4 linked regions of the Pelodiscus sinensis genome follow. The protein of the gene in region 1 purifies or fractionates together with the protein of each later gene. This does not show direct contact. Links are inferred from orthologs where the notes say so. Each region holds a gene or a part of one and is shown in the gene's direction. Other genes may lie near its edges. The genes, in order: SDC2, FGF2, CAMKV and AMPD2.

Region 1 (7,607 bases):
CTAAGCATGTGCTTTGAAGATTTGAGGCCACAGATGCCAAGGTTTAGGCCACAAATTTGTACTAGATTCTGTATCAACAGACACTCAGGGGTAAGGAGGAACCCACTGACTGCAGGGATCTACCACGAGGAGCTCCTTTCAAGAGGAGCCTCGGGTACATTTAGACAGCAGGGCTATTTCGGGATACCAGAGGTATCCCAAAATAGCTACCCTGCATCTTTTAAACATCTCCATTATTTTTAAATATTTGTTCCACTAGGGTTAAGGAATGTGTCAAAATAGCACGTTATTTCAAAATTTGGTGTTGTGTTGATGTGGCAAATTTTGCAATGAGCTATTTTGAAATACAATTGAAATAAGATATGCATTCTGCATATCTTATTTTGAATTTAGAATGCTGTGTAGTAGGGATGTGAAGGACTAGTTGACTAGTCGACCATCCGATAAGCAAATGCTTATCAGAGAGTCAACAGGATAGTTAACTAATTGCTTCCCCTCCCCGCCTTACTGCTCTATCAGTTAGAAGCAACAAGACGGGGGAGAAGAGGGGTTCTTCAAAATAGCTGTGCCACTTGAAGCTTGAGGCCAGGCCCCGGGCACCATGCAGCACTGTCGCTTTGAAAAGCTGCATGCAGCCCGAGGCCAGATGGGGTGTCCCCAGGCTGCATGCGGTGTTTCAAAGCAGAAGTGCTGTGCGGAGCCCGAGACCATCTGTGGATTCCAGCTGTCCCCGGGGTCTGTGCAGCACTGCCTCTTTGAAATGCCCCGGGAAGCCCGGTGTCAGGCTCCTCGTGGCATTTCAAAGCAGCAGCGCCACGTGGAGCCCAGGATCAGCTGGGGACTGCCCAGCTTACATGAGGCTCCATGCGGCATTGCTGCTTTGAAATGCCGCAGCGGCGTTTCAAAGCAGCAGTGCCACACAGAGTCCCCAGATGACCCAAGGCTCCAGATGGTGCTTTTGCCTTTGAACGTAACAACAGCCCTAGGGCAAAATGCACCAACTATGCAACTAGTCAATTACCTGATACTTAACATCCTCACAGTGTAGTAGATGCACCCTTACAGCCCTTAGAGGACAGAAGCCTTTGTTTTAGTCTGCAGGGGATTTTGGAACAGAGTGGGTATATCTCTGAGCAAGAGAGATTGTAACAAATTCAAAGAAAGTGTTTTTGTTTAAAACATATGCATATGCACATGAAGGCAGAAATAGCCCACCATAGTAATTAAAAAAAATCAGTACTCAGGTTCCTTATGTCTTTTCCTGCACATGCCTTTTTTATGTTTTTGTTTTCATTGTTGTTTACTGTTTTTATCATTTAACATAATGTACATCAGTGTTTCTTAAACTGTGTTCTGTGGTACATGGGTGTGCCATGAGGCAGTCAGTGTGAGCCGCAGAGAACAACAGAATTCAAAATGGTGTTCATCGGTCTTAAAAGTTTAAGAAACACTGATGTATACCCATTACTAAGGAATCAGAAAATACATACCTAGCATTCCTGTGTTTTAATTGTAGCTCTTCTTTTGCCTTGTGCAAGTGATTCAGGCCTTGATTCTGAAAGCTAATCTGTGTACATGGACATTTATACCTATAGTCAATGGGATTCTGCACAAGTATATTTGGATCAGTTTGCAGGATGGGAGCCTTTGCCTTGCTTTTCTCAATTGTAAAGGAAGGATATTAGTGATCTACCTTACAGGGCTGTGGATTTATTCATAGTTATACCCCAGTCCAGCTAAGTCCAGCTAAGTACTCTGTCTGAGTGGACCCCTCCATTTGCACAGAACTCAGTGGCTTCTTCCAGTTGTCCACCCATATCACCTTACAAGATTGGGGTCTGAATGTTTGCAGTATGTTTTGAAGATTAAGTGATATATTGTGTAATCAGTTTTTATTCCAAACTCTCCATTGATTCATTAATGACTGTACTGCGCAAAGCTTGAAGATGTTGAAAAAAAAAGCCAAAGTGGATTTCAGAAGAGAGTGCCTGTAAAAAGTTCTGAAAATCAGTATTTGGACGAGTGTTATTACTATTGTGTTCTCCCAGGATCATATCCATACACAGGAGGAGGACGCTCAAAACTGCTTCTTCTGTTTGGAAGGTAGTCACTCTACAGCACAGTTGTCTCATTTCCTGCCATATAGACTCCTCTGTGAATCTACATGTGAGGAAGGGTTAAGGGGGATTTTGGGTGAGGGAGCACTTCCATTTGAATGGCCTGAACTTTTATGCTAGTAAGGGGTATGTTCAAGGAAAGTGGAACCAAGATACCAGGGAGCTGCAACTCAGTTGAACTAGGCTCCAGGACTTGATTCTTTCATCGCAGTAAAAATATAACCTCTGGCTACGTCTACACTGGTATGAATTTCCGAAAATGCTTTTAACAGAAAAGTTTTCCGTTAAAAGCATTTTCGGAAAAGTGCGTCTAGATTGGCAGGATGCTTTTCCGCAAAAGCACTTTTTGTGGAAAAGCGCCCGTGGCCAATCTAGACGCGGTTTTCCGCTAAAAAGCCCCGATCACCTTTTTCACGATTGGGGCTTTTTTGCAGAAAACAGTACTATGCTGTTTACACTGGCCCTTTTGCACAAAAGTCTTTCGGAAAAAGACTTTTGCCCAAACGGGAGCAGCATAGTTTTTCCGGAAAAGCACTGATGATTTTACATGAGATCATCAGTGCTTTTCCAGAAATTCAAGCAGCCAGTGTAGACAGCTGGCAAGTTTTTCTGGAAAAGCAGATGATTTTCCGGAAAAACTTGCCAGTCTAGACACAGCTCATGTGTCCAAGCCATAGAGCAGAAGTGGAGACCCTTTTTTCTGTCACGTGCCTCTGATGCACAGAAATAACTTAGGGCCACACTAACAAGTGAGGCGAAAAAAAAGCTATAAACCCTCACTCATTTACTTCACTTGCACTCAACTTGGGATACCATAGCTTCGCTCCTGCTCCAGCCCAGCAGGGCATAAGGGAAGGAAGGAGGGTGCCAAGGCCTGGGACTTCTGGCTGGAGGTGCAGAGACTTGCCATGAACCAAGTCAAATTAAGTAGGGTGCCTGATCTGGCCCATGAGCTGTAGGTTCCCCTCCCCTAATTTAGAGTGTGGAAAAGAGACACAGGATTGTGGAAACCTCTGCAAGGGAAACTTCACAGAGCTTTCTTCTACATCATCTTGGGTCTTTAGAGATGTTTAAATTTAGGGACCATTATGATCATCTAATCTGACTTGCAGAATAATACAGGCCCCTCAGAATGTCCGCTGTTAGTTTCTGAAGTAAGCCACATAGGCTGTGTCTAGACTGGCCAGTTTTTTTCCGAAAATCAGCCGCTTTTCCGGAAAAACTTGCCAGCTGTCTACACTGGCCGCTTGAATTTCCGCAAAAGCACTGACGTCTCATATAAGATTGTCAAGTGTTTTTGTGGAAATACTATGCTGCTCCCATTCCCAATACTATGCTGCTCCCAAACTTTTGCGCAAAAGGGCCAGTGTAGACAGCTCAGATTTGTTTTCCACAAAAAAGCCCCGATTGCCATTTTCGCGATCTGGGCTTTTTTGTGGAAAACAAATCTGAGCTGTCTACACTGGCCCTTTTGCACAAAAGTTTGGGAGCAGCATAGTATTTCCACAAAAACACTGACAATCGGGGCTTTTTTGCGGAAAAGCGCGTCTAGATTGGCACGGACGCTTTTCCGCAAAAAGTGCTTTTGTGGAAAAGCGTCCGTGCCAATCTAGATGCTCTGTTCCGAAAATGCTTTTAACGGAAAACTTTTCCATTAAAAGCATTTCCGGAAAATCATGCCAGTCTAGACGTAGCCATAGTGTAATGGGGGGAGGGAAGAGGATTGTGTAAAACTGTTTGCTTTCCCAGTTAGTTTCCACCTACCCAGAATTTTAAAAGTATGTATTAGATGGCTGCCAGATCTTGCAATATTTATGGCAGGGCTGGCTATAGACAATGTGTCCCTCCTAAATCCTGCATTTCATGACTACACCTGAAGCTCAGATTTCATTTTTGTAAATTTCTAGCCCTCATTTATATAGAAAAGCCCGAAAAGCTGAACCTAAAGGCGACCCCAAATAGCAAATAAAAAGACTCCAAAATGCTAATCCCCAGCAATCTTGTGAGTCTTTTGAGCCAGCTTTGTGATGTGGGAATGCTTGGAGCAGGCAATTCCGCATGCCATTCCGTTAACATATTGTAACATGTAATGAAGTCTGAGAGGGATGGGGTGAGAGAGATCACCACTCCAAACAAACATCTAAAAGCTTAAAAAAACCTCCGATTGCCGAGCTATAAAAAACGGATCTTTCCAAGTTTATTTGTTTATATCGGCCCATTTCTCACACTTCAAAGCAAAAATAAGCTGAACATGATCCCTTCCGTTTCTCCGCGGCGTTGCAAACGATTTCCATTGGTATTAAAGGGGGCAAAAAATAGAAGGGGAGACACCAAAAACTAAAGTTGCTTGGATGTGTACAAGGAGAAAGGAGAGAGGGGCCGCTGCAAAACGGCCCACCCCTTACTGGCTGCCTGAGCTGCCAATCTGTGCTGTAATCCTGCAGGAATTTCTCCTGGGCTTAACTAGGAGTCGCTCTGCTGCCTTTTCACACGCAGAGGAGAGGACGGAGACAGTCCCTGCACTGACCGAGGGCGAAGGGAGCAGCTCGGGACCTGCGAAGCTCCGCTCTCCCCACTCCTGCCTCGAGCCCCTCCGCGCGCCCAAACTTTTGCTCCCTCGTTTATTGATGCAGCCGAAACTGTGTCCGGAAAATTAAAATCCCCTCGGGGCAGGAGGGAGGGAGGGAGACACCCTCCCCACCAACCAACCAACCAACTCCGCCCTGTGCCTAGTGGGATTCCTGCCTGCAGGCAGCCAACAAGTGAGAAGCGGCGGCGCCAGAGGCGGCTGCGGGAGGGAGGGAGCGGAGAGCCCGGGATTTCTGTCGCTGGTGCTGCGGGCTCTGGTAGCGGCAAAGCAGCCGGGGATCGCTCGGCGGCTGGGTTTTGCCTGAAGCGGCAGCTTGCCTCGCCTGCACCCCGGGAATAATGCGGAGCGCGTGGATACTGCTCACTTGTGGCTTGGTGGCCTGTGTGTCCGGGGAGTCGGTAAGTGAGGGTGGAGTGGGGGGACGGGCTTTCCCGGGGGGTGACAGCACCAGCCCTTCTCATCCTTGCCGGGCTGGGCAGTTGCTGGGGGAAGAAAGCTGCGGAGCTGTGTCCCAGCCAGGCGCAGTAGAGTCCCTAGAGGGGCAGGAGCTCCTCTGCAGATGGACGGCGAGCCCTCCCTCCCGCTGACCCTTGTCAGTGGCTGGGGAGAGCTCTAGGCTGGGGTGAGGGGGATTGTGCAATAACCATCCCCCCTTCCAGTGGGAGACTTTGGGGCGCGGGAAGGGGGAAGAGACAACAGCCTCAAAGCTCTTGGGAGAGAAACGCGCTTCTTCCACAGAGAAGCGGGCTGGGGGGTTAAGGAAGGGGGAGGACTAGCTGCTGCTACATCTGCTGAGCAGGAGCCTGCTGAAGTCACTTTGATGATCTGTCCAAGGGTGCGTGTTTCTCCTTTGCGCGGGGCTGTAAATTATGATTCGGGCAGAGGCATCTGTTGATAGCGGACAACTTTTTTTTTTTTTTTTGTTAACAACAAAAACAAACCCTAGACCCGTGCGTGGCTGGGGAGAGTGTGAGAGAAAGACGTGACTCTTGGTGTGACCCTGCCACTCTAGAAGATAAAGTTTGGTGTTTTTCTGCGCTCTGCTGCTGAGGAGTTGTTGGTGGCCTGGAGGCGAACGTGATAGGATGGGGTTGAGAATTCACAGTCTTGCCCTAAAAACGAGTTAGAAAATCGTATTGCAGTTATTCTGATTCGCCGTGTATAGTGACAGGATAGTAATTTCTGGCTGAAGCTGTATTTTCTGAGGATTGCGATTTGCTTCTTCTAGTTAATGTATTTTTGTGGCGGGGCGGGGGGTGTAAGTGGCATAGTTAGAATGTAGAAAATGTCTGTCTTGTGTTCTTTCCTGCTTCTTTTCTAGTCAGTAATAGGCTTTTCAGCTGTAGAAACCACCAGGGATTCCTTTGGGCTGTAACAATGGTGCTATGGGGCAGCGGAAGACTTTTGGTCTGTAAGTGGTTGCACTGCTGTCTCCAGCTTTTCCTCCCCCTTCTCCCACCCAAGTAGTAGGAGTTTTGTATTCAGTTGACTCCTATGCTCCGGTTTAGGAACAATACATGTTTTCTGATTTGCTCTCCCTTAAAACTGCCCTGCCTCATGCTTTCCTCGGTTCTTCTGCCGCGAAGGGAATTGCTGCCTTGCAAAATAACTCAAATCCTGAAAATGCCCTGGGGAGTTGACGGATTCAGCTACAGCACTTACTTGTACTGTCTCCACTACCTACCGTATGTCCAAATTAAGCTACATCTTAATGTAAAAGAAGACGATGAAAACGCTCCCGTGAGGCATGTTTGTGTTCTCTTCTCCCCGCCCCTTACTGCGAAGTTAGTGTTCTCGAGTTTGTGAAATTTGGAGTCAACATGACTCCCTGGAGGTTATCGCTTGCATTCTATATTCCCCGTGCAATTTTCTGTGTAATACTTGCATCATAACTACTGAAAAGAAACCAATAGCTCAGCAAAGTTGAGGTCTTACACCCTCATTTCTTTGGCACATAAAGTGATTTTGTTAATCTCAGCTTGCCTCTTTTCAGTTAAGGATTTAAAAAAAAACTTACTGAGAATTTTAGTGTGTCGGACAATATTATACTTTGAAAAAAGAGCTTCCTGGCTCAGACTGAGTATTTACCCTTGAGAAACATTCCAGGCAATCTGGTATCTAAAATCACAGGCAGGGAAAACAAGAGCTCTTCTGTGAGAGGAACATACAAGTGGAGCCTCCTCAAAACATGGAGAGGCTTAAGGATGACTCTTTCCCTGATAACACTTTGCAGATGTTTTTTTCTCTGAGAAGCATAGTATAATTTGTTGTGTACCTTTTTAAAACCCACAAATATATTTCCACTAACTTTAGTTCTCTAGTTAATTAAGTCAGCAGCAAGAGTTGGAATTTCTGGTAGGCAGAGTTCTGTTTCTTGCTTTCTCTCTCCATAAAATGGAGATCATAGTACTTTACTAGCATTTGAGGCTTTTTCACTAATGCTTGTATGCGCTTTGGTATCACCTTTCCCTAGATAATCTCAAACTACATTTGCTGCTGCTTCAGTATTTTTAGGGTCTTTAACATTTCTCAGTTCATTGAGCTTCAATTTCTTATTAAGAAACAATGACAATGTAATTCAATTAGAGTGAGCTGCTCCACTGTGGTAAACAATTTCACTCACATGCAATATTTTTGCAAGTATTTTAGATATTATTTAAATATGAATACAATACAGAATCTCTGGTTAAGGATGAGCCAATCTTTCATGAAAGCCTTTTAAGGGTGATATTTTCTTAAAATAAAACTAAGTCTTCTCCGTAGCATAACTAGTGATTTTAGTTTGTATCATGAAAAATAAAAATTAAACTCAGTTTATTATGGCAAGTCTTTAATGACGTACAGTATATTTTAATGCTTTCTATTTAAATTTTACAGCTATAATAGCTTCTAGAGATGAC
Region 2 (7,976 bases), on another chromosome or scaffold:
GAGAAGAGACTGGGCTGAGGGCATCAGTTCTTAGCACTACCCAGGCCATGGTGCTGCTTCTGCCGCTCCCACCCACCACCCTGGGCTGGAGCTGTAGGAAGCTGGTGGTGGGTGCCTGGCTGCTCCCAGGGCAGGCAGCTTGCTCTGGGACTGCACCGTGACCTTGCTCCAACTCTGGCACACAGAGGCAGCCCGGCTGCTCCCACCTTGACTGCAGCTGGAAGCTTGGGCTGGGGCTGTAGTAGAGCTGCTCCCGTGGCAGCCTGGCCAAGAAGGCCCCAATCGGTCAGCATCCAGTCCCTGGCCCTGATCCTCAGGCAGGCCCCTGTCCATCCCCCATCTGGCCGCAGGAAGAGCTGGTGGCGCACTGTCCCCTCTGCTGTGACACAGATAGGAGGGGAGGCCATGATCCAGCTGCAGCAATCCTGGCCCCGCCTCTCGTCCAGCCGCTGCTGCCTGAGTGCAACAGCTCAGCCAGGTAAGGTAATCCAGCCCCCGCTCCTCATACTGTCCTCTCCCCTCCTCCCCAACACACTGTCCTGCCTCGTGTACTTTCCACATAACCCAGTCCCTGCCCTGAGCCCCTCATACACAGCAACCCAGACTCCTACACCCCTACATCTCCAGCCCCTGGCCATGAGATTGACAGACGACACCCTGAATGCATGCACGAAGCTGGATTTGACCCATCATGATGTGAACTTCAAGAAATGTGTGAAAAGATACTGCAGCAGAAGTCCTATTAAAGTCTGAGTAGTTGCATTTATGCTATTATTAATCACCATGTTGATTATCAATAATATTAAGTTGTATATTTCAGTCCTGCAAATGGGCATTCTTATACAGCTCTTGTCGACCACTTGTTCTGAATTTTGATGTAGTTTGGCTCTTCGATTTGAAAAGGTTGCCGACCCTGCCCGACCGTCTGTCTTCAGCACCAAAATGCTGAGCGCTCATGGCTGAAAGTCAATGGGGGCTGTGCTTTGAGCATGTAAGTTACTACAGAATGCTTTGTACTCTGAAAACTCTGGTACTAGGACCACCAAATTGGGCATCCAAGATCAATGGATGCTTTTGACTATAATTTCTCTGTGCCGCCATTCCCACTCTGTAAATTGGAGCAAATACTCTTTCATCTTGCAGGGAAGTTTGTGAAAATAAATTCATTAGTCTTTGTGAAGACCAGGGTAAAACATGTAAGGCAACTGAATTTCTGTCCTTAGAGCAGGGTTTGAGTAGTGCACAGTATACAAGGCTAAGGGTTATGTACTGAACAGAGAGAACACAAAATATTGAATAGCCGCTCTTTAAGCACCATCTAGCATGAGCACAAAAAGAGGCAGGGAGACAATACAGAAAAATATGTGGTCATAATGCAAATACACAAGGGGCCAAATTAAGTTTATACCCAGGCAACAGGAACACTGGTATTTTACAGCTTTTGAATGCCTGGGTTTTGTGACCTTAATGTTTTTTGTGCCTAACTGTAATACTCTAAAGGGGCAAATTCCGGGGATTGTCCCCGAATTCAGCTCTGTAGAAGCTATTTTATGTTTAGCTAGAAGCCATCTTGTATAACAGAAACCATTTCAGCTTTTTGTCTTTGCACGTAGGCCAAAGTGAACTTTCTATCACCCCATGCGCCAGGCCAAGACAAATGTGCTATTGGAATGTGTTAATTGGGCTGGTTCAAAAAGGAAAGGTACTCCCTCGTACCTGTCCGCCATCTTGTTGATAAGGCTTTGTTTTTCCTAGTTTAATTAATTATTTCTGTAATTGAATGCCCTGACGTCATTGGCTTCAGTGACATGTACTTTTGTCACAATAGTGACTTAGTTGAGTTGATATAGGAAGAAAAAGTGTTCTAAAGTCTCATCAGGGAAGGAGAAACCAACCAAATTAGATAGTCTGCTGTTATCTCTTAGTGATGGGAACTTTATATGGAATTCCAAATTTGTGTAAGGAAAAGGAACCAAGGTTCATAGATTTTTGTTCCTTGCTGCACAATACATGTGAGATAAGTAAATCTTTATAATTAGCAATGGATTGTCATGAAAATAACAATGTCCAGGTTAGCTTTTTCAGAGATCTTTACTGAAAGGATCATGTTCCGTAATCAAAGGGCTGTTTAAGAGTGCCAGAGTGGACAACTTCTTCCTACACACCCTCTTGTTCACAGCTGTAGTAACAAATTGTTCACTTCGATTTTATCTTAACTATTAACTTAATACTAGCTCTTGTGTAATAGCACATAGTTTCTGCTTAGGAAGAGAACAAGAACTAGGTGGTCCAAGCAATCAAGAAGATGAAACTTCTTACACCCTTGTAGGGTGACTATTCCAGGTCAGGCATGAGGTCATTGACTGGACAGTATTAGGGAAAAATCACATTTTGGCTGTCTCCAGACTCTGGCCTTTGGACAGAAGTTGACAGTTGTATAAATTACATAGAGAAAATGTTTTGCGCTCCTCTCCAAGAAACCAACAAGACTTGGCCACAGCCCCACAGGCTTGAACAGTTGTACTTATGATATTTATAAAATCAAATATTGTAGATGTTATGTTTATACATGCAATATTTAAAATACAAGCACATGGCAATTGTTGTATAGTTAGATAATACAGAAAGAATTACTTCTATCACATTGACAGATAAATCCAATATGGAGGAGCAATGGGAATTGTACCACCAATTCTAGATGCTTGGTTTGGGGTGGTCCTTGTCTAAAACGAAAAGCTAATGCAATGCATGACACTGATTTATGTGCACATTAAAGTAAGTGATTTGGCTATTCGTCTTACTAGAATTATATAACTGTCAAGAGGCAGCTATATTTGCAATAGATTTTAATACAATATCAAACTGGACATTGTTTGGTATTGAGTAGCAGTGATGGAGAGGCTTGTAGTTTGGCATTGCTGGGGTGGGAGAAAATCACTTTTTAAACATAAATATAGTATTTTTGTTGAAAGTAGTCAACCATTTGTCTGACTGCCTTATTTGTTGAATTGGGGTAGAACAATTGTCCCTTAGCCCTCATTTTCCTGGAAAGGTAACGAATATATGTTTGCATAGCTATCAAATGTTTTTTCCTTGAGGTATGAACTTGGTTTATAATGTCCTGACAGAGAGGAATATTGTGTTATGAGGATCCCTTCTGGCAGCCCAGATCTGTGGATCAAGTGGAACAAATTGTGGGTCATCTTCTGGCAATATTTCCTGCTGGTGCAGACTGATAACAGGAAGAGTGTTTTATTCTGTGTTTTCTGACTGTTTACTGTGCTCTTCAGAAATAGTGGAGGAGAGGATTTAGCAAACACTCTAAGGTTGGGCCACTTCTACTAACACAATAAGTCATAACTAATGCTCCTCTAAGATTTACTTGTCTGTTCCTTTTCTTCCGCCATACAGTTTTCATCATTCAGCTTTGCACAAAGGAAAGATTCCTATTACTTGTAAATCTTGTATACATTTTTGCTCTTTCTTGATTCCCAAAAGGAGAAATATTTGGCCTTTTTATTCTTGGATATGCACACACCAGTGAAGAGGAAATATTGTGTCTTTCAGCAGAGTCATCTTTACCCATACCTAGACTGTAGAGTTGTGTAGGACACTTGAAAATCTGGGGCAACAGTGGGCTACGTCTACACTGTAGCCTTCTTCCAGAAAAGCTTATGCAAATGAAGCATGGAGTGGAATATTGCCATGCTTCATTTGCATAATTAACGAGCAGCCCTTTTTGCGCAATAGGCTTTTGCGCAGAAAGGAGCTGTCTACCTAGCTCCTTTCTGTGCAAAAAACCCTTCTGTCCAAAAACCCCCTCTTGCGCAGGAGCCTTTTCCCTGGAAAAAATGAAGAACGGCTTGCGCAAGAGGGGGGTTCTGCGCAAAAAGGAGCTGTCTACACAGCTCCTTTTTGCGCAAAAGCCTCTTGCGCAAAAACAGCTAACTAAATATGGAAATGAAGCATGGCGCTATTCTACACAAGCTTCATTTGCATAAACTTTTCCAGAAGAAGGCTACAATGTAGGTAGACGGAGCCTGGCTCTTAATGTGGATCCACCTGCCTCTTCCTATCCCTGTTATGTGGCTCTGCTTCTTCCGGAGAGGATCTAGTTAACTAAAAAATAACACAGCCTGCCTGACCTATTAGCAGAACATTGAACCTGTGAAAGAGCCATTCAAGTGATAACAAATCCATTTTACAAACATTTTTCCAAGTCCAGGTATATACTGTCAATTTTTTAATTTACCATGTGAGAGTCTAGAGGGCCTTGCTTTAAAATTTGATTTAAAAATAATCCATTTGTGTGTTACTGACAGGCCTGTCAACAGGCGGTGGAAGGAAAGGGGCTGCTCTTTTGCCTTTTAAATCTAGTAAGAACAAGAGGCAGCTAGGATAACAGAATGCAGGACAATGTAGCACTTTAAAGACTAACAAGATGGTTTATTAGATGATGAGCTTTATCTGAGGAAGTGGGTCTGGCCCACGAAAGCTCATCATCTAATAAACCATCTTGTTAGTCTTTAAAGTGCTACATTGTCCTGCATTTTGCTTCAACTACCCCCGACTAACACGGCTACATTTCTATCACTAGGATAACAAGCACTCCCCTCCCCTTATCTACTAATCCAGTAGTTGATAGACTTTTGCTTTAGTACTGGTTTAGCTGATTGTTTGAAATTTAACATCCCTACTAGGCAATTTAGACTGGGAGGTGGGAGTTGCTGTTTTCCTGGCACTGGAGCAGAGACGATTCAATTTATTCCTGCCCCGAAGTGCAGGTCCTAGGGTGTGAAATGAAGATCTTCCTCACGCCCCCACTAGCTTTAATACCCCCCCTTAACCGTCGTCTACAAACCCCCCTCCAGAAGAGCAAATGAAAAAAGGGTTGGTATAGTGCCTAAAAAGTGACACCGCCCCAGCTGGCTCCTTTCTGCGGCGCCAGCTGCCCCAGACTCGCTCTGTCTACGACCAGTTTGTGAAAGCGCGCGGATGCTGTTGCCCTGCAGCCGGCAGAGGGTCGGGAAGGGGACTTTCCCTGCGCACTCCAGGCGAGGGAGCGGGCGGGGAGGCAGACAGGAGGCTGGCTGTGCGGCCAGGGGAGGCAGGGCCGGGCAGGGTGGATGGGGAGGGAACCGCTCCTCCGGCTCGGCTGCCAGTTTCTCCAGCAGGCGCAGCAGGAGGCTCCCAGTCCCCCCGGCCAGGCAGCGGAGCGGCCCAGCGAGCCCCCAGCGCCGGGCAGGGGGCGGAGCAGCAGCGGGAAGCCGAGGCGCACAAACAAGTGGCTGAGAGCGGCGCTTGCCTCTGGCCCGCCGCGACAGCCGGGCGACGCTCGTTCCCGCACCTTGGCCGGCCCACGGGCTCGCGGCGCCCGGGCGTTGCGCAGCACCCTCAGCCCCGCCGGGCAGCCGGGAGCCGCTTCCCGCGCGGAGGCGGCAGGGCCGGGGCGTCGGGCTCGGAGAGGAGGGGCCGGGCCCCCACCGGCAGGGGCGAGGCTGGGCGGGCGCGGCGAAGGGCGAAGCCGGCAGGGGGCGAGGCTGGGCGGCCGCGGCAGGGGGGCCGGGCACCAGGGGGTCTCCCCGGCCCGGGACCCCGCGGCGGGGCGGATGGCGGCGGGGAGCATCACCACGCTGCCCGACGACGGGGGCAGCGGCACCTTCCCGCCGGGGCACTTCAAGGACCCCAAGCGACTGTACTGCAAAAACGGGGGCTTCTTCCTCCGCATCAACCCGGACGGCAGAGTGGACGGAGTCCGAGAGAAGAGCGACCCGCACAGTGAGTACCAGCCTCTTCCCCTCCCACCTGGGCACGGCTTCGGGGCAGGCCCCGCCGAGCCCCAACTCCTCCCGGAGGGGGCACTCCTGGCTCCCTTGAAAACAATGGCAAGCGCTCGCGTCCCGCTTAGTGGGGGCAGGACAGCGCCCCAGGCATCCAACCTGTGCCTGTTACCTTCGAGCCATCGGTGGGTGGGGTCGAGGGCCTGAGTGCTCTCCTGCTTTGGGCCCCCACCTGCTGTGCGATCGGGGGCTAATCACTCAGCCTTTCTGGGCTTCTTCACATGAGAAAAATCTCCCGGTGTGTGATCAGGATTGGGGACAGTCATAACCATGACTTCGCAGTCAGTGCAGAGGAGCTTCATTCAGGATTGTGACGCTTTAAGGCTGGTTAGCTGCCTGGGTGCCTCAACTGCAAACTGTAGCCAGGAGTTTAACTAGAATGCTCCCCATCCTATTCAAGCATAGGAAAACGTTCTTGCCTATACCCGACTTTTCCCCTGTCTCCAAAATGGATAGAACGCCACTTGCCTAGTTCATTGAGAGTGAAGTTTACGGTTCCTAACAGGAGATGATCTCAGTGTAGATGGTAAATACTTTGTCTGCTTTACTAACGGTTATGGCTCTATTAAAGCACATAAGCTCTCTTCCTCAACCAAAAGAGTGGGGCACCTGTTTGTAAAAGGTTTTCAATTTCATGTATAAACTAGGGATGTTAATGCATCTAATTATGTAATCGTGTAACCACTGAAAATCATATAGAGGCAACAGCATGGGTGAGGGTCTGTGTGTAACCCTGCACATTAACTGATGTAAATGGTTACACTTTCACATCCCTAATATAAACTTGGATCAAAAGACAGTAAAAACAAGTGTACAATACTTTGAACCAACTCCTAGACAGTATTTGTTGTCAGTCAAGCATTACTGATGGGTTCCTAGCAGGTTTTCTACTCAGTCAGTGCTAAACCCTGATTAATAGGTAGCAGGTTTAACAAAAACAAAAGGAAGTTTTTCTTCACTCAGCTCAGTCAACCTATGGAACTCCTTGCCAGAGGATGTGGTGAAGACTACGACTTCAACAGGGCTCAAAAAAGAGCTAGATAGATTCATGGAGGTTAGATCCATCAATGGCTGTTAGGATGGGTAGGAATGGTGTCCCTAGCTTCTGTTTCTCTGGAGGTGGGTGACAGGAGAGGGATCACGGGAGGATTACCTGTTGTGATCCCTCCTTCTAGGGGATCTGGTATTGGCCAGTCTCGGCAGACAGGATACCGGGCTAGATGGACCTTTGGTCCGACCTAGTATGGCTGTTCTTATATTCTAACTTGTGTGTGTGTGTGTGTGTGTGTGTGTTTCTCCTGTCTATTAGAGAGAGCCCCCAAAGATCACAAAATCAGATAAGGATCGAAGGCACCAGGCCAGGTTTATTGCCAAGCAAAGTACAGTAATAGTTGTCAACGAATAGACTTGCCCCAGAGCCACTACTCATATGTACCTCATGACCAGTGCCTGTAAGCTGAGCACTTGTGTGGACACTCAGGAGAGATACAGATGCTTCTTAGCTGATTAGCAGAGCGCCCGCAATGCCTAGAGCCATCAGCATGTATTTCTATTGCTGGTGCACATCTGCACATGTGTTGGTGCACATAAAATTTATTCTACACATGGATGGAAAAGCTTAGTGGGAACATTGCTTGTGACAATGGAATACCTCACTCAAAACTATTGATCTAATATTACCCCCTTGACTAGACAACAATTCTTTGAGTGTACACTTTTAGACACAGGTGCAAACAAATTACACTTCACTCCTGACATATCAGGTTGCCGTCTTCTGACATTAGATCCACCCCTTACCTTGTACATAGTTCTGTCACTATCTATCATGCTGTCAGTTTAGACCCTGTCCTAAATCTGGTTTTGTATGTTCTTGTTATCTTTGGTGTGTGTTGGTACCAAGATGTTTCTCAATGAGGTGTCCTTCATGACCTCTGGAATGTGCTTACAGCCTGTGCTTAGCAGGTATGTGTGTTTCCGTAACATCAGCCCTGTTCTTGCCAGCTTCTGTGAGCAGGGCCTGCCTCATGCTCACAGCTTAATTCTGTTTTATATTAGCAAAGTCTTTACCATTGCTGTTTAGGTCAATGTTTGTTTCGGGCCCTCATCTTACTACATTGTTCTAGGGGAAGAGATATC
Region 3 (7,909 bases), on another chromosome or scaffold:
GCGTGTGCGTGTGCATGCACGGCGGCCCTTCCCCAGTCTGCTTGGGGTCTCTAGCGTACCAGGAACATGGACCGACTCACTTGGCCCTTCCTGCTCTCCGCCACCACGCGCCCATGGCAGAGTTACGTTCCCGCCCAGCCTAGGGGTATGGGGTCGTTGCCCTAGGCCATCCATAGGGCCCGATCACACTCGCTACTCAGTGGGGGGCACGTGGCCCCTGGTGGGGCGTGCAGGATACTCATGTGCCACCTTACTGGATACTCTCAGATTGAGCAATAAAACCCCAGTCACCCCGCCCCCGGCTCCCCAGAGCCCCCGGCCTGGGACCGGCCCCGCCCCCGGCTCCCCAGAGCCCCCGGCCTGGGACCGGCCCCGCCCCCGGCTCCCCAGAGCCCCCGGCCTGGGACCGGCGCTGAGCTGCTGGGTCTGTAATTACAGCCCGAGAGCTGTCCTGTTTCCCCGAGGCGGTCTCTTCCCTTAGAACGTCCTGTGCCCCCTCTTGTCCCTGGTCCCGTTCTCCTGGCGTGGCTGCCAGCCGCTTTCCTGGCGGGAACAGTCAGCCCTAGCGGGCAGCGCTCCCCTTTGCTGGCTGAGGACCAGATTCCGTGCTCGCTTTGCCCCCCCAGTCCCTAAAGGGGGCCCTGGGCTGGGCAGCTCGTCCATGCCAAGTGCATGGCAATGCCCCCTAGCCTGGCTGTGCAAGGCCGCCCCAAGGGGCATGATGCTCCCCCTAGTGGGGCAGCCTGGCAATGCAACATCCCCTCTGGCAACTCGAAGGCCTGGAGGAGGTTCCCGCGCTGGCGCCTGACTCGGGGGGCACAGTCGGCGGCAGACTCAGCCAGGAGGGAGCCAGGGGCTCTCGCCAGCCTGGATGTCATCCGGCCCCGCTGTCTCGTGCGGTGCAGGCGGTGTGACAGCCCTGCGAGGGGTGTGGGCGGGAAGAGCGGGGGAGGGGGACTGGCGGCTGTTTCCGCTGCGCACGTGCACAGTGAGTGGGCGATGTCTGTGTGCGTCGTTCTGTTCCAGGGTTAACGCCCGGCAGCCAAGGGGGCGGGTGTGCCCGGCTACTGCTCGGGGAGCTGCGATCGGCCCTTGGGGCGCTCTTTGTGGCGGCTGAGTCAGCTGTGCAGGGCAGGTTCTGGAGCAAGCGCTGGGCTCTGCAAACGAGATCCAGGCTGGCAGGCCGTGTCCCCCTCGCCAGCTCTAGTGGGTGCGTGTCCTGCGGTCCCCTGAGCGCCACCCGGGGCTGTGACGGGCAGTGGGGTGCCTGCCTGCTAGTGACTGAGCTTTAGCCAGCAGAGCTATCCTGCCCCCTCTTACTGGTCCTGACCCCCCGACCCCTCGGCCCAGCTCCGCACTGGCCGGATGGGGCTTTCCTGGCAACCGGGAGCGGAGCCCCGCTTCTCTGGCTCCTGCCCAGCACTCTCCGGGGTGGGGCTGGCTCTCCCTGGGCTGCCCAGGCCTGGCTGCCTGGCTCCTGCAGATGGGCCCCACGGCGCTGAATTGGGGCCGTTGCTCACGCTGCCCCATGATCTGCCTGAGAGGCAGGCGCCTTGTGCCAGCTCAGCCTGCCTGGGCAGCAGGTGGGCGCGAGGCAGCTGCTAACTCTGCCCTGTACGTGGCGCCAGGCTGCGTCTCTCCCGCTGCCCTGCCTGCTCCCTCTGGGGCCGCTCCCACGTGCTGTAGCTCACCCGCCTGCCCTGTGCCGCCGGCTCCTCCGGGCTCTGCGCTCTCCTCCTGGGGTGGAGGCTGGCCAGGAGCCTGCAGCGGAGGCCCCGGAGGGCCCCGAGGCACTGACGGCAGCAAGCAGGGGAGCCCGGGCTGGGCCGGCCGAGAAGAGGGCGATGGGGGCAGAGAAGCAGCTGGCCCAGGCCCTGCTTTGCGGGTGTGTTGGCTGCCAGCACAGCCCCGCCAGGGAATGAACTGGTCAGACGTGGTACCAGCCCCAGTGCTGGGGTGACGTGTAACCTCCTTTCCCTGCTCGTGGGCCGGGGAACCCGCTGCCCCTTCCGGGCAGGCGGCTGAGGGCATGGAGAGGGCTGGGCCATTGGGGGCAGCTCCCGCTGGGCCAGGCCCGCAGGCTGCCGGGGGCCCAACCCCCTGTGGCAGGGCCCAGGGCGAGTGCCCCTGCTGCCTGGCGTGGGACAGGGCCCTGGATACCACCGCCTCCCCCCAGAGCTGGGCACAGCCTGCCCCCGGGCACGGCATGCTGCACGTGAGTCCCAGACCTTGCAGTGGCACCGGGCCCCTTCTGACCTTGTCTATGGGGCGCATCTGGCCCCACGTGTCCTCTCCCCTCCTGCCCATGGGCCCCCCTCCCCCGCTCCCCCTCCCCCAAGAACCGGGCACCTGACTCTTAGTGGGCCAGGCTGGTACATTAGTCACTAGAGCGAAGGAAAAGGGAAGCCCCTGCCCCGCCCTTGGCTCCGCTCTGCCCCCCCTCCTCTGCCCCCTTCGGCCCCGCTTTGCTGTTCCCTCACGTCCCACTCGCCGCCTGCCGGGGCTGTCCTTCCCACGCAGCCAGGAGAGCTCCCTGGCCCCCTTTGCTGCCCCGTGCGCCCAGCCCCACAGGGCATCGCTGCGTGGTTCCAGTGACTGCTGCCCGGCAGAGTCAGAGCTCCAGCCACGCCAGGCCAGACCCCCAGGACCGCCCCCCCAGCCTGGTCCCTGGGCCTGGCGAATCCCTCACTCGTGGTGGCCGGCCCCACACCCTCTCCTCTCCCCGGACCCCTTGCTGCCAGCTGAACCCGTGTACTGCCTCCTGCCAGTGATTTGATCCCTGGCTCCCTCGGTCTGCAGCTCCTCCTGACGCAGCATGGTGAGGGCCGGGGACAGGTTGCTTGCTATGGCATTTCCTGCACAAACAGCAGCTAATCTCAGAGGAAGATGGGGGGCTCCTCCCACAGTGTTCATGACTTATCCGCAGGCGTTGCTCCCAGGAGCTTGAGGTACAGGCCATCCCCCCATGTGGCTCCATTAGTCTGCAGCAGTAGTAGATTGTTATCCCCTTGTGCAGTGGCCCTGGATCCTTCCCCAGCAAGAACCTGCTCTCGCTAGCAGCACGGGGGCTGCCGTCCAGGCTGAGACCCCAGAGCTCATGGGCCAGCGGGGGATGACGGGTACCTTTGAGCTCGGCTCTCTGCGGGAGCGGTCAGCTGCCATCTGGATGGGGCAGGGGTTCACCCACCGCACGGGCCCGTGCAGTGCCAGGTGCCAATGGCAGGCCACTGACTTGCTCGGGCGTGGGTGCTGGGATGGAGCCGGCCGCTGCCCAGGAAGCACGTCGGCCTGGGGTAGGGTGAGCGGGAATGAGCCAGGGCAAGGTCATTGGTGCCGAACAGCTGTCCAAGTGGGAGCGCAGGTCGCTGGATGGGGGAGGGCAAGGGGCAATTCTCCAGGAGCCAGGGTGATGAAGGGCCTGGGAGCCGCTGTTGCCGGCAGCACAGCAGGGCCAAGGCAGGCAGGGGCGGCCCGTGAGCTTAGGCAGACTAGGCGGTCACCTAGGGCGCCACTGGCCTGGGGCACCCAATGATGACGTCACCGGGTGCCCGATGGGTACGTCACGGCCATTGGCAGCCGTACAGCGGGGGTGCCGATCGCGCCTTCCACCTGGGGCATCAGCTGCTGCAGCCGGCCTCAGGCCGCTCCCGAAGGCAGCCTCCTGCTTCCCTTGCTACACGCTGCTCCCGGAAGTAGCCAGCCCATCTCTGCTGCCCTCACCATGAGCTCTGACTCTGCAGCTCCTATTGGCTGCAGTCTCCAGCCAATGGGAGCTGTGGGCATGGAGACTCCCCCCACCCCCAGCCATCTAGGAGACACTTGGGTGGCTCCCAGAAGTGCCAGCCTAAGGTAAGTGCTGATCCTCTGCCTCCCCCCCAAGCTCCTAATCTCCCGCCCCAGCCTGGAAGTGAGTGAGTGAGGGGCGGGGGTGGAGTGACAGGGAGGGGCCTTGGAGGGGTGGACGAAGGGTGTTGCCTCGGGGAAGGGGTGGGGGCAAGGGTCTGTGGGTTTGCACAACAAGTAGGAACCCACCAAATTCATGGTCCTTTTTGGTCAATTTCACATCACAGGGTTTTAAACAGTCGGTTTCATTGTTTCAGCTGTTCCCATCTGAAATCTCAGGGTGTTGTAATTGTAGGGGCCCTGACCAGAAGGAGTTGTGTGTGGGGGTGCAGTACTGCTAGCCGTCTGCCCTGCCACGGGTGGGGTGCTGCCCTCGGGGCTGGGGGCCAGGCCCACCACCACCACGCTCGGCTGCCCAGCTGTGAAGCCAGTGCAGATGTAAGGGTGGCAATGCTGTGACTCCCCCTCCCCCAAAACAACCTGGTAACCCCCGGCCGCTCCCTCTTGGGGTCAAGAGCCCAGTTTGAGAGAGGCTGGGGGCCCCGGGAAATCTGCATGCTACAGGCTGGAAGCGCTGTGGGTTTGGTAGGGCCCTGGCCATCAGCCGGCTGGCAGCCCTGGCCCAGCACCCCCAGCGTCAGGCTTGTGCGGATGTGGGGGGGGGGGCCGTGCCTGGCTCGCGGCAGGCCAGGGAGGGAGCGTCCCGCTGCAGAGCCAGCCAAGGGGCTGGCTCCAGGGCTGCTTGAGCCCGGAGCAGCTGGAAATAAAACGGGGCCCATCAGTCGAGTGATTCCAGCCGGACTGGCCCCAGTCAGCTGTTCAGTGGGGCCCCGGGGCCAGCTGGAGGCATTGGGGAGGGGGCCCCCTCTTTGCTCCTCCCTAGCCCACAGCAGGAGGGGAGGGGAGGGTCTGGGCCAGGGTCTCAGCACCTGTTTGCTGGAGGCGGGGGGAGGCACAGTGCGTGCTGCTCTGGGTACAGGCGCTGAGCCTGTTGCTATGGCAATGGGAGTTGTACAGAAGGATAAAGGCAAGTCTGTGAGGAGGGGGTGGGGCCGGCTGAGGGAGCAAGGGGGTCGGGGCTCTGGTTCCCGGCCTGAGCTGCCCCGTGGCCCTGCAGCTGGGCTGTGCGGGCAGGGCATGGCCCTGGGCGCTGCTGCGGGAGTCGCCCAGCCCAGCCCCTCGTGGCCCGGCTAGCGGCTGCCCCGTGCTGCAGCAGGCCCAGTGCCAGGGCATGGAGCAGGCCGGGCGGAGAGGTGCCCACACGGGGCCTGCAGCAGGCTGGGCCGCGCGGCAGAGCGCCCTGGTCACCACGTGCCCAGGCTGGCATCCCGCTGCCCGGCAGAGCGCTGGGAGCCCATGGGCCCAGACACAGCAGCGGAGGGGGGGGGGGAGACGTGGGAACCAAAGGGCACTGCCAGAGGGTTTCCCACCAGCTTCCTCTAGCCAGAGCCGGGCTCCGCAGGGAATGGCCGGGGGAAGGGGGGGGGGGGGGACAGAGCCAAGGGCCCGGCCGGCTGCCTGCTGGGCCGTGCGTCCGGGTCCCACGCGGTGCGGCCATGGGGCCCACAGAGACCGCTCCACCGGGGCAGGCTTGGGCACGCTGGGTCTGCCTGGGCAGGGCTGGGATCGGGCACCCAGCGCCTGCCTACCCTGGGCAGAGGAACCTGCCGTGCTCCGGGCCGTTGCAGTGGCTCTGCGGGCGGGTGTGGCTGGCGGCCCTCACTGGGTGTTGGGCTGGTGAGCAGACTGGCAGCCCCCTGCTCAGTGTCAGCACGAGGGGGAGCAGTTTCCTCCTGGCAGCTGGGCCACCAGGCTGGTGAGCGCAGGTGACAGGGCACAGACCTGGCCTCAGTCAGCCCCACTCCACGGCAAAGCTCCCAATGATCGTTTCCACCCGTGTGGAATAAATTTGTTTTGCGCACCAAGGCTTGTGCGGATGTGCACCACCAGCGCTCTGCCAATCAGCTGAGCCGCGCTGGACTCTCTCCTGGGGAGAAGCCGCGAAGTGGTGGGACTGCACGGAGTGAGGTTTGACCCCCTGCGGGGCAGGAAGACCCCAGCAGGGAGCTGGCACTCTGCTTTGGAATGGGAAATGGCCGTGCTGGGGGGAGGGGACTGCGAAGGAGCCCTGCCTTAGCGGGGCAGGAAGTGCCAGAAAGGCCACTGGCAGCCGGGGGGGCCTGACCAGCAAGGCCCGGAGGAAGCAGTGTGGCCCAGTGGCAGGGTCATGCAAACGCCCTCCTCACTCGCTGCTTCTCTGCCTTCCAGCACCGGCCCCGGCGATGCCGTTTGGCTGCGTCACCCTGGGAGACAAGAAGGATTACAACCAGCCATCCGAGGTGACGGACAGATATGACCTGGGACAGGTCATCAAAACGTGAGTCTGGCCCGGACGCCTCCGGCTGAGCTTGCCCGGCCCTGTGTGTGTGGGGGGGTCCTCTGAGAAGATGGGGGGGGGGGGGGCCGTTCACAGGCGGACCCTGCTGTAGCTTTTCCCCTGATCGTGAGATTGGGACGATTCTGCCCCCAGCACCGAGTGCTGCCGCTTCTGCGGAAGGCGTGCAAGGGGCTGGCTGCAGAGAAGTGCTGCGTGAGGGGCCGGTGAGCCTGGCGGGCTGAACCCAGGAGTTTCTGTGGCTGCGGCGGGTGGCGACTGCAGGGCCCAGGGAGCGCACGGCACCGTGCGAGCCGTCCACGTACCCGGGCGTGAGTTCCGACAGCTCAGCGTCACAGGAAAAGCGGCAGCCTCTGGTTCTCAAGGCTGGGAGCCGGCGCGTGGCAGCGGGGCTCCACTCGCATCCAAAGAGTTTGTGGAAGTGGTGTCAAACGTGCCGTATCTGCTCCTTCCTGTCGCGGCCCCGCAGCTGCACGGCGTGTCTCCAGTCCCACCCGAGACAGCAAGGCTTCCATTTGCGGACAGGATCGTGCCCATTCTACTGTAAAGCAGACCCCTGCGAAGATGCTTTGGGGCCAGAATTGAAGAGCACCTGGACTTTTAAACTGCAGAGGGAGTTCCCAACACACTGCGGTGAAAGGACGACAGTCACACCCGAGCGCACAGACTACGTGGAAGCCTGGAGTGATTCACAGACCAGTCCCCTGCCTGGCTGGGAAGAAGTCATAGAATCCTAGAATACTAGGACCGGAAGGGACTTCGAGAGGTCATTGAGTCCAATCCCCTGCCCTCATGGCAGGACCAAATACTGTCTAGACCATCCCTGATAGACATTTATCTAACCTACTCTTAAATATCTCCACAGATGGGGATTCCACAACCTCCCTGGGCAATTTATTCCAGTGTTTGACCACCCTGACAGTTAGGAACTTTTTCCTAATGTCCAACCTAAACCTCCCTTGCTGCAGTTTCAGTTTAAGCCAATTGCTTCTTCTATCCCCAGAGGCCAAGATGAACAAGTTTTCTCTCCTTATGACGCCCTTTTAGATACCTGAAAACTGCTATCATGTCCCCCCTCGATCTTCTCTTTTCCAAACTAAACAAACCCAATTCTTTCAGCCTCCTTCATAGCTCATGTTCTCTGGACCTTTCATCATTCTTGTTGCTCTTCTCTGGACCCTCTCCAATTTCTCCACATCCTTCTTGAAATGTGGTGCCCAGAACTGGACACAATTCTCCAACTGAGGCCTAATCAGTGCAGAGTAGAGTGGAAGAATGACTCCTCGTGTCTTGCTCACAACGCACCTGTTAATGCATCCCAGAGTCATGTTTGCTTTTTTTGCAACAGCATCATACTGCTGACTCATATTCAGCTTGTGGTCCACTATAACCCCTAGATCCCTTTCTGCCGGACTCCTTCCTAGACAGTCACTTCCCATTGTGTATGTGTGAGACTGATTGTTCCTTCCTAAGTGGAGCACTTTGCATTTGTCTTTATTAAACTTCATCCTGTTTACCTCAGACCTATCCTCCAGATCAGTCGCAACCCCTCCCAGCTTTGTATCATCTGCAAACTTAATAAGCGTACTTTATATGCCAATATCTAAATTGTTGATGAAAATATTGAACAGAGCCGGTCCCAAAACAGACCCCTGTGGAACCCCACTTGTT
Region 4 (7,901 bases), on another chromosome or scaffold:
TCTCACCCTACCCGCCCCCCCCAGCTGGTCTCTCGCCTTATCTCCCCCCCCCCTGCGCTCAGCTGGTCTCTCGCCCTATCCCCCCCCCTCAGCTGGTCTCTCGCCCTATCCCCCCCCCTCAGCTGGTCTCTCGCCCTATCCCCCCCCCCCTGCGTTCAGCTGGTCTCTCACCCTACCCGCCCCCCCCCAGCTGGTCTCTCGCCTTATCTCCCCCCCCCCTGCGCTCAGCTGGTCTCGCCCTACCCCCTCCCTCTCCCCCCCCCCCCCCCCCGCTCGCTGCTGTTCGCCCAACTGCGGCTTTGCAGTCCGGAGGCTGCCCGGGGGGGGGGGGCTCTGCGGGCTCCCTGGGGCCGGAGCCGACACGCGGCTCCTGCAGCACAAAGGCGGATTGTTCGGTTCCTCTTTGTCTTTCCGCTTCGCGGGGGGGGGGGGCTAACACCCTGGCCCGGGAGGGGGAGGGGCAGTCTCGTCCCCCTGACTCCGCCGGGGCCTGACTGGGAGCCGGCCCGGGCCCGGGGGGGGGGGGGGGGGGGGTTTGCTGCCCGCGCGGCTGGCGGGACATGCCGGGGGGGGGGCGGGGTCTCCCCGCGGGCAGGGCGCTCCCCGCGCTGCTGCAGCTGGCTGGACAGGCGGGTCGCTCGGGGGCGCGGGGCCCCGGAACGGGCGTTCCCCGGCGCAGCCAGGCCCTGGTGCCGCGGAGCTGCGGGCGCTTCCCCCGGCCCGGGGTGACGCAACTGGCTGTTGTGCAACCTCCAGCCAGACCAGCATCTAGCCGGGCCCCGCGCTCCGCCTGGGAGAGGCAGCCGGGCGCTCTGGGGGACCCTGCAGTGTCTGGGGTCAATGGCTGCCTCTGCTGACGGGGTCCTCCTGTCTGTGCCCCCGGGGAAAGGTCCCAACGCCACTGCCCCCAGTGCTCGGGGCAGGCACTCCCCTGTGTCTGCTGGCCCCACTGGCCACTGCCCCCAGTGCTCGGGGCAGGCACTCCCCTGTGTCTGCTGGCCCCACTGGCCACTGCCCCCAGTGCTCGGGGCAGGCACTCCCCTGTGTCTGCTGGCCCCACTGGCCACTGCCCCCAGTGCTCCGGGGAAGGCACTCCCCTGTGTCTGCTGGCCCCACTGGCCACTGCCCCCAGTGCTCCGGGGCAGGCACTCCCCTGTGTCTGCTGGCCCCACTGGCCACTGCCCCCAGTGCTCGGGGCAGGCACTCCCCTGTGTCTGCTGGCCCCACTGGCCACTGCCCCCAGTGCTCCGGGGAAGGCACTCCCCTGTGTCTGCTGGCCCCACTGGCCACTGCCCCCAGTGCTCGGGGCAGGCACTCCCCTGTGTCTGCTGGCCCCACTGGCCACTGCCCCCAGTGCTCGGGGCAGGCACTCCCCTGTGTCTGCTGGCCCCACTGGCCACTGCCCCCAGTGCTCGGGGCAGGCACTCCCCTGTGTCTGCTGGCCCCACTGGCCACTGCCCCCAGTGCTCCGGGGAAGGCACTCCCCTGTGTCTGCTGGCCCCACTGGCCACTGCCCCCAGTGCTCGGGGCAGGCACTCCCCTGTGTCTGCTGGCCCCACTGGCCACTGCCCCCAGTGCTCCGGGGCAGGCACTCCCCTGTGTCTGCTGGCCCCACTGGCCACTGCCCCCAGTGCTCCGGGGCAGGCACTCCCCTGTGTCTGCTGGCCCCACTGGCCACTGCCCCCAGTGCTCGGGGCAGGCACTCCCCTGTGTCTGCTGGCCCCACTGGCCACTGCCCCCAGTGCTCCGGGGCAGGCACTCCCCTGTGTCTGCTGGCCCCACTGGCCACTGCCCCCAGTGCTCGGGGCAGGCACTCCCCTGTGTCTGCTGGCCCCACTGGCCACTGCCCCCAGTGCTCCGGGGCAGGCACTCCCCTGTGTTTGCTGGCCCCACTGGCCACTGCCCCCAGTGCTCGGGGAAGGCACTCCCCTGTGTCTGCTGGCCCCACTGGCCACTGCCCCCAGTGCTCCGGGGCAGGCACTCCCCTGTGTCTGCTGGCCCCACTGGCCACTGCCCCCAGTGCTCCGGGGCAGGCACTCCCCTGTGTCTGCTGGCCCCACTGGCCACTGCCCCCAGTGCTCGGGGCAGGCACTCCCCTGTGTCTGCTGGCCCCACTGGCCACTGCCCCCAGTGCTCGGGGCAGGCACTCCCCTGTGTCTGCTGGCCCCACTGGCCACTGCCCCCAGTGCTCCGGGGCAGGCACTCCCCTGTGTCTGCTGGCCCCACTGGCCACTGCCCCCAGTGCTCCGGGGCAGGCACTCCCCTGTGTCTGCTGGCCCCACTGGCCACTGCCCCCAGTGCTCCGGGGCAGGCACTCCCCTGTGTCTGCTGGCCCCACTGGCCACTGCCCCCAGTGCTCGGGGCAGGCACTCCCCTGTGTCTGCTGGCCTCACTGGCCACTGCCCCCAGTGCTCGGGTCTGCTGGCCCCACTGGCCACTGCCCCCAGTGCTCCGGGGCAGGCACTCCCCTGTGTCTGCTGGCCCCACTGGCCACTGCCCCCAGTGCTCGGGGCAGGCACTCCCCTGTGTCTGCTGGCCCCACTGGCCACTGCCCCCAGTGCTCCGGGGAAGGCACTCCCCTGTGTCTGCTGGCCCCACTGGCCACTGCCCCCAGTGCTCCGGGGCAGGCACTCCCCTGTGTCTGCTGGCCCCACTGGCCACTGCCCCCAGTGCTCGGGGCAGGCACTCCCCTGTGTCTGCTGGCCTCACTGGCCACTGCCCCCAGTGCTCGGGTCTGCTGGCCCCACTGGCCACTGCCCCCAGTGCTCCGGGGCAGGCACTCCCCTGTGTCTGCTGGCCCCACTGGCCACTGCCCCCAGTGCTCCGGGGAAGGCACTCCCCTGTGTCTGCTGGCCCCACTGGCCACTGCCCCCAGTGCTCCGGGGAAGGCACTCCCCTGTGTCTGCTGGCCCCACTGGCCACTGCCCCCAGTGCTCCGGGGCAGGCACTCCCCTGTGTCTGCTGGCCCCACTGGCCACTGCCCCCAGTGCTCGGGGCAGGCACTCCCCTGTGTCTGCTGGCCCCACTGGCCACTGCCCCCAGTGCTCCGGGGCAGGCACTCCCCTGTGTCTGCTGGCCCCACTGGCCACTGCCCCCAGTGCTCCGGGGCAGGCACTCCCCTGTGTCTGCTGGCCCCACTGGCCACTGCCCCCAGTGCTCGGGGCAGGCACTCCCCTGTGTCTGCTGGCCTCACTGGCCACTGCCCCCAGTGCTCGGGTCTGCTGGCCCCACTGGCCACTGCCCCCAGTGCTCCGGGGCAGGCACTCCCCTGTGTCTGCTGGCCCCACTGGCCACTGCCCCCAGTGCTCCGGGGAAGGCACTCCCCTGTGTCTGCTGGCCCCACTGGCCACTGCCCCCAGTGCTCCGGGGAAGGCACTCCCCTGTGTCTGCTGGCCCCACTGGCCACTGCCCCCAGTGCTCGGGGCAGGCACTCCCCTGTGTCTGCGCTTACCCCCAGGGAGGGCTGCTCGCCAGAGCTGGAGCTAACGATTCAAACACAAGGACTGGGACACAGGAGGCAAAGGGAGGTGCAGCCTAGAGCCCCCTGGCCCCCAGGAACAGGCCCTTTCTCACCCGCCTGGGCAGCGCTTGTTCAGCTCTGAACCCGAGGCCTGCCTTTCCTGAGACCCTCTGGGGCTCTTCTCTGCAGCACAGTTACCCCCCGCCCAGGGACATTTCTAGGGGACTGTTCGTCTCTGTAAAGTGTCAGGCTCCGCCACATCCAGACAGTAAACACAGGCTGGCTCCCGATGCCCTTTGTTCTCCCTCTTGACTAAGTCCATTTCACCAGGCCTGAGACCCAGGCCTGGCAGGTGCCATGGCTCCTAAAGTTCTCCCCTACACACATCCACCCCACAGTAGTCCAGAAACCAGCTACTGCTGAGACCATGGGGTGAAATAGCTAGAGGACGGTCAGCCCCGGAGATGATACGCCCTGCCCGGCTGCGTGCCGCACACACCCACAGACAGTCTTTGCCCCAAAGAGCCAACAATTTAAGTAAATATGACAAGCAAAGGGGGAGGGGAAACCGAGGCACAGACTGGTGAAGTCAGCAATAGAACCCACCTCTCCTGAGTCCTAGCCCCATGTGCTCTCCACCAGCCAGTGTTGCTTATTCTAGTGTCTTACTAGCGGGGAGGGCCTGTCCCTGCTGCCTGTTCCTGTTCCACCAGGGAGCCCCTTTTCTGGCTCTTGTGCTAGCAGAAGCCTGGGATGGGGCTGGCAGCCTCTGAAAATAGCAGTGGAGGGAAAGGAGGCTGAAAAGCCTGTACTGTACATCTTTGCCTGTCCTGCCGATCAGGATGGGAGTGTGGCTCAGTGGTTAGTGCAGGCAGGAGGTGCAATTCCGGCTGTGATGCTGATGTACTGCTTGGTGTGACATCTCTGTGTGCCCCAGTGATAGGGGCCTATGGGGCGGGTTGGAAAGCACCATGGCCGCCCAGGAAAGATGCTGTGCAGGGTGGTGCTGGGTCTTGTGGGCAGAGCCCCGGGAGGGGGGCCTGGATTGCTCCTCTGCAGAGGTGAGCAGGTGGGTCTGCCTGTGGCCTGGCACGGATCCATCCCTGAGGCATGGGGGGGGGGATCTGCCTGCCACATCTGGCCAGGCGCCCTCATCTGCCACAGCTCTCCAGGGAGGGGAGTTCTTTCTCTGGCCCCTAGCAGAGCCCCCAGACTGGCTCCATGGCCCGCTGGGCTCGCTGCTCTGGGAACAGCTGGGACCAGGCCCGGCTGGGGGGAGGGGGGAGGACGGACCAAGTTTTGCGCAGGGGGTGCTGCTGCTGGAACCCGCAAACCACGCCCCTGGGGTCTGTTCCAGCCGGCGCCCTGGGCCCCTGCCCTGCCCCTCGGCTGGGCTCGCCCGAGCTCGGGCCCCGGGCCTGGCGCCGCGCCAGGCGGAGCCGGGGACTTCGATCCGGCGCCGCGCTCGCTGCATCAATCAGCGGCCGGGGGAGGGGCCGAGCAAGCTCTGGGCCGCTGCTGCAGGAAGAGCTCCCGGCTCCGCAGCTGCGACTCCCCGGCGGGCGCAATGTCGGCGGGCGCCGCGCCCCCCCGGGGCAAGCACCCCTTCCAGAAGCGGGGCAGCCTGCAGGCCCCCGCCGCCGCCGCAGGTGAGCGCCGGCCGGGCCCCCGCGCCCGTGCGTGGGCTGCCTTTGTTCCGCGCGGGGCCGGGGCTCTCCGCTCGCCCGCGGACCGGGGGGGTCACCGGCTCCCCTCCTGGCCCCCGGGGCGGCGCAGCTGCGGGGGATCCGGGGCATCTGGCGTGGGCGCCGCGTTGCGGGGACGGGGTGCGTGTAGCGCTAGTAAAGGCAAGGGATGGATAGGGCTGGGGGGAGGGAAAGGAAAGCCCCCCCCGTGCTTCCTTTGCGCGTGAGTGTGGGGGCGTGAACTCTGCAGGCGCGTGTGTGCTGCGGATGTGGGGGGGGGGGGCAGTGACCTTAGTGGTTAGAGCAGGGGCTGCCCGGGTGTCATGGTTAGAACTGGGGGCCGGGCCTGGGTCCCTGCGTGGCTGGGGGCAAATGCTGGGGGTCGGGTTAGAGCTGCGGAATGGGGGGCTGGGTCCCCTGCATGTCTAGGTGCAGTGCAGGGTGTCGGGTTAGAGCGGGGGGGGCCGGGTTCCCACACAGGGTGTCGGGTTAGAGCGGGGGGGGCCGGGTTCCCACACAGGGTGTCGGGTTAGAGCAGGGGGTCGGGGGGGCCGGGTTCCCACGCAGGGTGTCGGGTTAGAGCGGGGGGTCAGGGGGGGCCGGGTTCCCGCACAGGGTGTCGGGTTAGAGCAGGGGGTCAGGGGGGGCCGGGTTCCCGCACAGGGTGTCGGGTTAGAGCGGGGGGCCGGGGGGGGGGCGGGTTCCCGCACAGGGTGTCGGGTTAGAGCGGGGGGGGGGCTGGGTTCTGTGTGTATCTGGCTTTGAGCTGCCCCCGCCGAGCGAGTGGCCACTTCCCCATTTGTGAGTTGGGAGTGATGCTCCTCACCTGCCTTTGGGAAATGCTTTGAGGTCCTGGGTGGAAGCTGCTGCCTCCTGCCCCTGTGAGCCCTAGTGGGTCGGGTGTGGGTGCAGGTGCGCGACTGTGGCGTGGATCTGTGGGCATGGGAGACATGGATCAAACCATGTTTTGGGGCCCTCTCCTAGGGCTGGAACATAGCACCCACCACCTTGGGGGGCATCCAGCTTTCTCCCACCACGTGTTCTAGAGCCCCCAGCCTGCAGAGACAGCCTGCTGCAGCTGTGGGCGCACCAGAGTCCTGCTTGTGGGGACCTAGGCAGCAGCCTTTAATGTGGGGCAGCTGGGGCACTAGTTGGGTGTCAGCTCTGCAGGCCAGGCGGTCCCAGGGCATGTTCTCTGGCTACAGGATCCCGTGTTCAAGTCAGTGGGACTGTGTTTTGTGGTGTGAGAATCATGCCCCTAAGCACAGGCCCTGGGGGCTGTGAATGTTGGAGGCAGGGGGGTGCTGTGCATGATGCACCCACACCTGATGAGCTGGGCTCACCTGCATGTGCCCCACAGTGAATGTCGTGCTAGGGCAGATGGAATCTCCCTTAATACTGGCCCAGGCCATAGTTCACTTTCCTGCATCAGTCTCGGGCACTGTGGGGTGTCAGAGGCAAGTGGGGAGGGAAAAGCTCATAATGCACCTAGCTAATCTGCGTGTGGGTGTTGTGTGGTGCGCTCATGGGGCTGTGTTGCAGGGACACATTATTCTTACTCCTTTATTTATCATCTGTTGCCATAGAGCCTAGAAGCCTGGCTGATGCTGATCAGCGTGCTGTGTGCTTGTGGAGTGTGCGGTGGTGTGGGACGCTCACCTCGTGTGTGCTGAGTTCCCAGGGGGCGGGAGGCCGTTGTGTGGTCTGGACACCTGGGCATAGGGGTGTGTGTAATTCTGCATGTGGATCAATACCTTGTTTTTCCTGCTGCAATTATAATTCCTGAAATGGGTAGCAGGAGGTGGAGCGGCTGCTAGGCGGGGGTGCAGGATTCCAGCAGAGGAAGTCACGGGGTTGCACCATCCCTCGAGGGCGTGAGGTGAGGAAGGGGGTGAAATCAGCATCTCTGTGATGCAGCTGGTTCCGGGCCTCAGCGCTGGTATCGACAGGGCGCTGCTGTGAGGGCGCCCCAGGGCAGACAGCTGAGGGGTGAGGTCCTGTGGGCGCTCCCAGGCCCCTGGGCTGCAGGAGGCATCCTCCAGACAGACAGCGGGGGATGGGCAGCGGAGGGTGTCTACATTGCACTGAGACACCTGGCCCGTGCCCGCTGGCTCAGGCGCGTGGGGCTGGAGACGGCCTCCAGGACCAGGTCTGCACCAGAGTTAAACAGCCCTCTCGCCAGAGCCCGAGTCAGCTGGCACTGGCCGGGAGGGGGTGCATCGTCAGAGGGGATTCCAGCCTGGCTGCGCCCCCCAGATCCCTCCCCTGCCACACTGCAGAGGCTGGCAAGCATGGCTCCCTGCCAGATTCCCTCCAGCTCCCCTCCCTTCACTGCTCCCGGCATGAGATCTGGGGAGGGGGGAGCAGCAGCAGGAAGGGCGGGGTGGTGGTGGTGGATGGGAGCTGCTCTGTTGCCTACGCCTCGCCCTAGGGCTCTGGCTGCCCTTGAAGGTGAACGGTGCCTTAGCAAACGCCTTTTACCGAGGGTTAACGCCGCTGGTTACTGACACGGCCCGGATTAGGATGGAATTCGTTGCCGCATTCCCGCACACGAACCCCGCTGGATGGTGACTATTCCAGGAACCGTTAATCAGCTGCTGCCAGCGCTCTACAAAGCACGGGCTCCCACGCGCACGTTAATGTCGCAGCTTCAAGGGGCCCACGGGAAGCCCCCACACGCAGGAGGCCTGGGGTGCCTGGGCCTTGGGAAAGCGTAGCACCTGTCCGGGTCTCTGCCACACTATGCATGTAGCAGG

What was found.
Region 2: the proteins of SDC2 (region 1) and FGF2 purify together in Homo sapiens (affinity purification with mass spectrometry; 4 studies listed by BioGRID and IntAct, counting the BioPlex papers as one, with this or other methods). This does not show direct contact. The link is inferred for Pelodiscus sinensis from reciprocal best matches to the Homo sapiens genes SDC2 and FGF2.
Region 3: the proteins of SDC2 (region 1) and CAMKV purify together in Homo sapiens (affinity purification with mass spectrometry; 3 studies listed by BioGRID and IntAct, counting the BioPlex papers as one, with this or other methods). This does not show direct contact. The link is inferred for Pelodiscus sinensis from reciprocal best matches to the Homo sapiens genes SDC2 and CAMKV.
Region 4: the proteins of SDC2 (region 1) and AMPD2 purify together in Homo sapiens (co-immunoprecipitation; 3 studies listed by BioGRID and IntAct, counting the BioPlex papers as one, with this or other methods). This does not show direct contact. The link is inferred for Pelodiscus sinensis from reciprocal best matches to the Homo sapiens genes SDC2 and AMPD2.

What each region holds. Positions count from the first base shown.
Region 1 is NC_134712.1:38,828,753-38,836,359, reverse strand, and holds the start of SDC2 (syndecan-2), read left to right. Parts: upstream 1-4,595; 5' UTR 4,596-5,045; coding exon 5,046-5,105; intron 5,106-5,512; exon of another isoform or gene 5,513-5,527; coding exon of another isoform or gene 5,528-5,542; intron 5,543-7,607. UniProt on the Homo sapiens protein: Cell surface proteoglycan which regulates dendritic arbor morphogenesis.
Region 2 is NC_134715.1:37,761,633-37,769,608, forward strand, and holds the start of FGF2 (fibroblast growth factor 2), read left to right. Parts: upstream 1-4,969; 5' UTR 4,970-5,126; coding exon 5,127-5,778; intron 5,779-5,952; exon of another isoform or gene 5,953-6,090; intron 6,091-7,976. UniProt on the Homo sapiens protein: Acts as a ligand for FGFR1, FGFR2, FGFR3 and FGFR4. Also acts as an integrin ligand which is required for FGF2 signaling. Binds to integrin ITGAV:ITGB3.
Region 3 is NC_134721.1:45,788,315-45,796,223, forward strand, and holds the start of CAMKV (caM kinase-like vesicle-associated protein), read left to right. Parts: upstream 1-4,909; 5' UTR 4,910-5,074; coding exon 5,075-5,096; intron 5,097-6,111; coding exon 6,112-6,220; intron 6,221-7,909. UniProt on the Homo sapiens protein: Does not appear to have detectable kinase activity.
Region 4 is NC_134737.1:15,280,209-15,288,109, reverse strand, and holds the start of AMPD2 (AMP deaminase 2), read left to right. Parts: upstream 1-4,893; 5' UTR 4,894-5,027; coding exon 5,028-5,109; intron 5,110-7,901. UniProt on the Homo sapiens protein: AMP deaminase plays a critical role in energy metabolism. Catalyzes the deamination of AMP to IMP and plays an important role in the purine nucleotide cycle.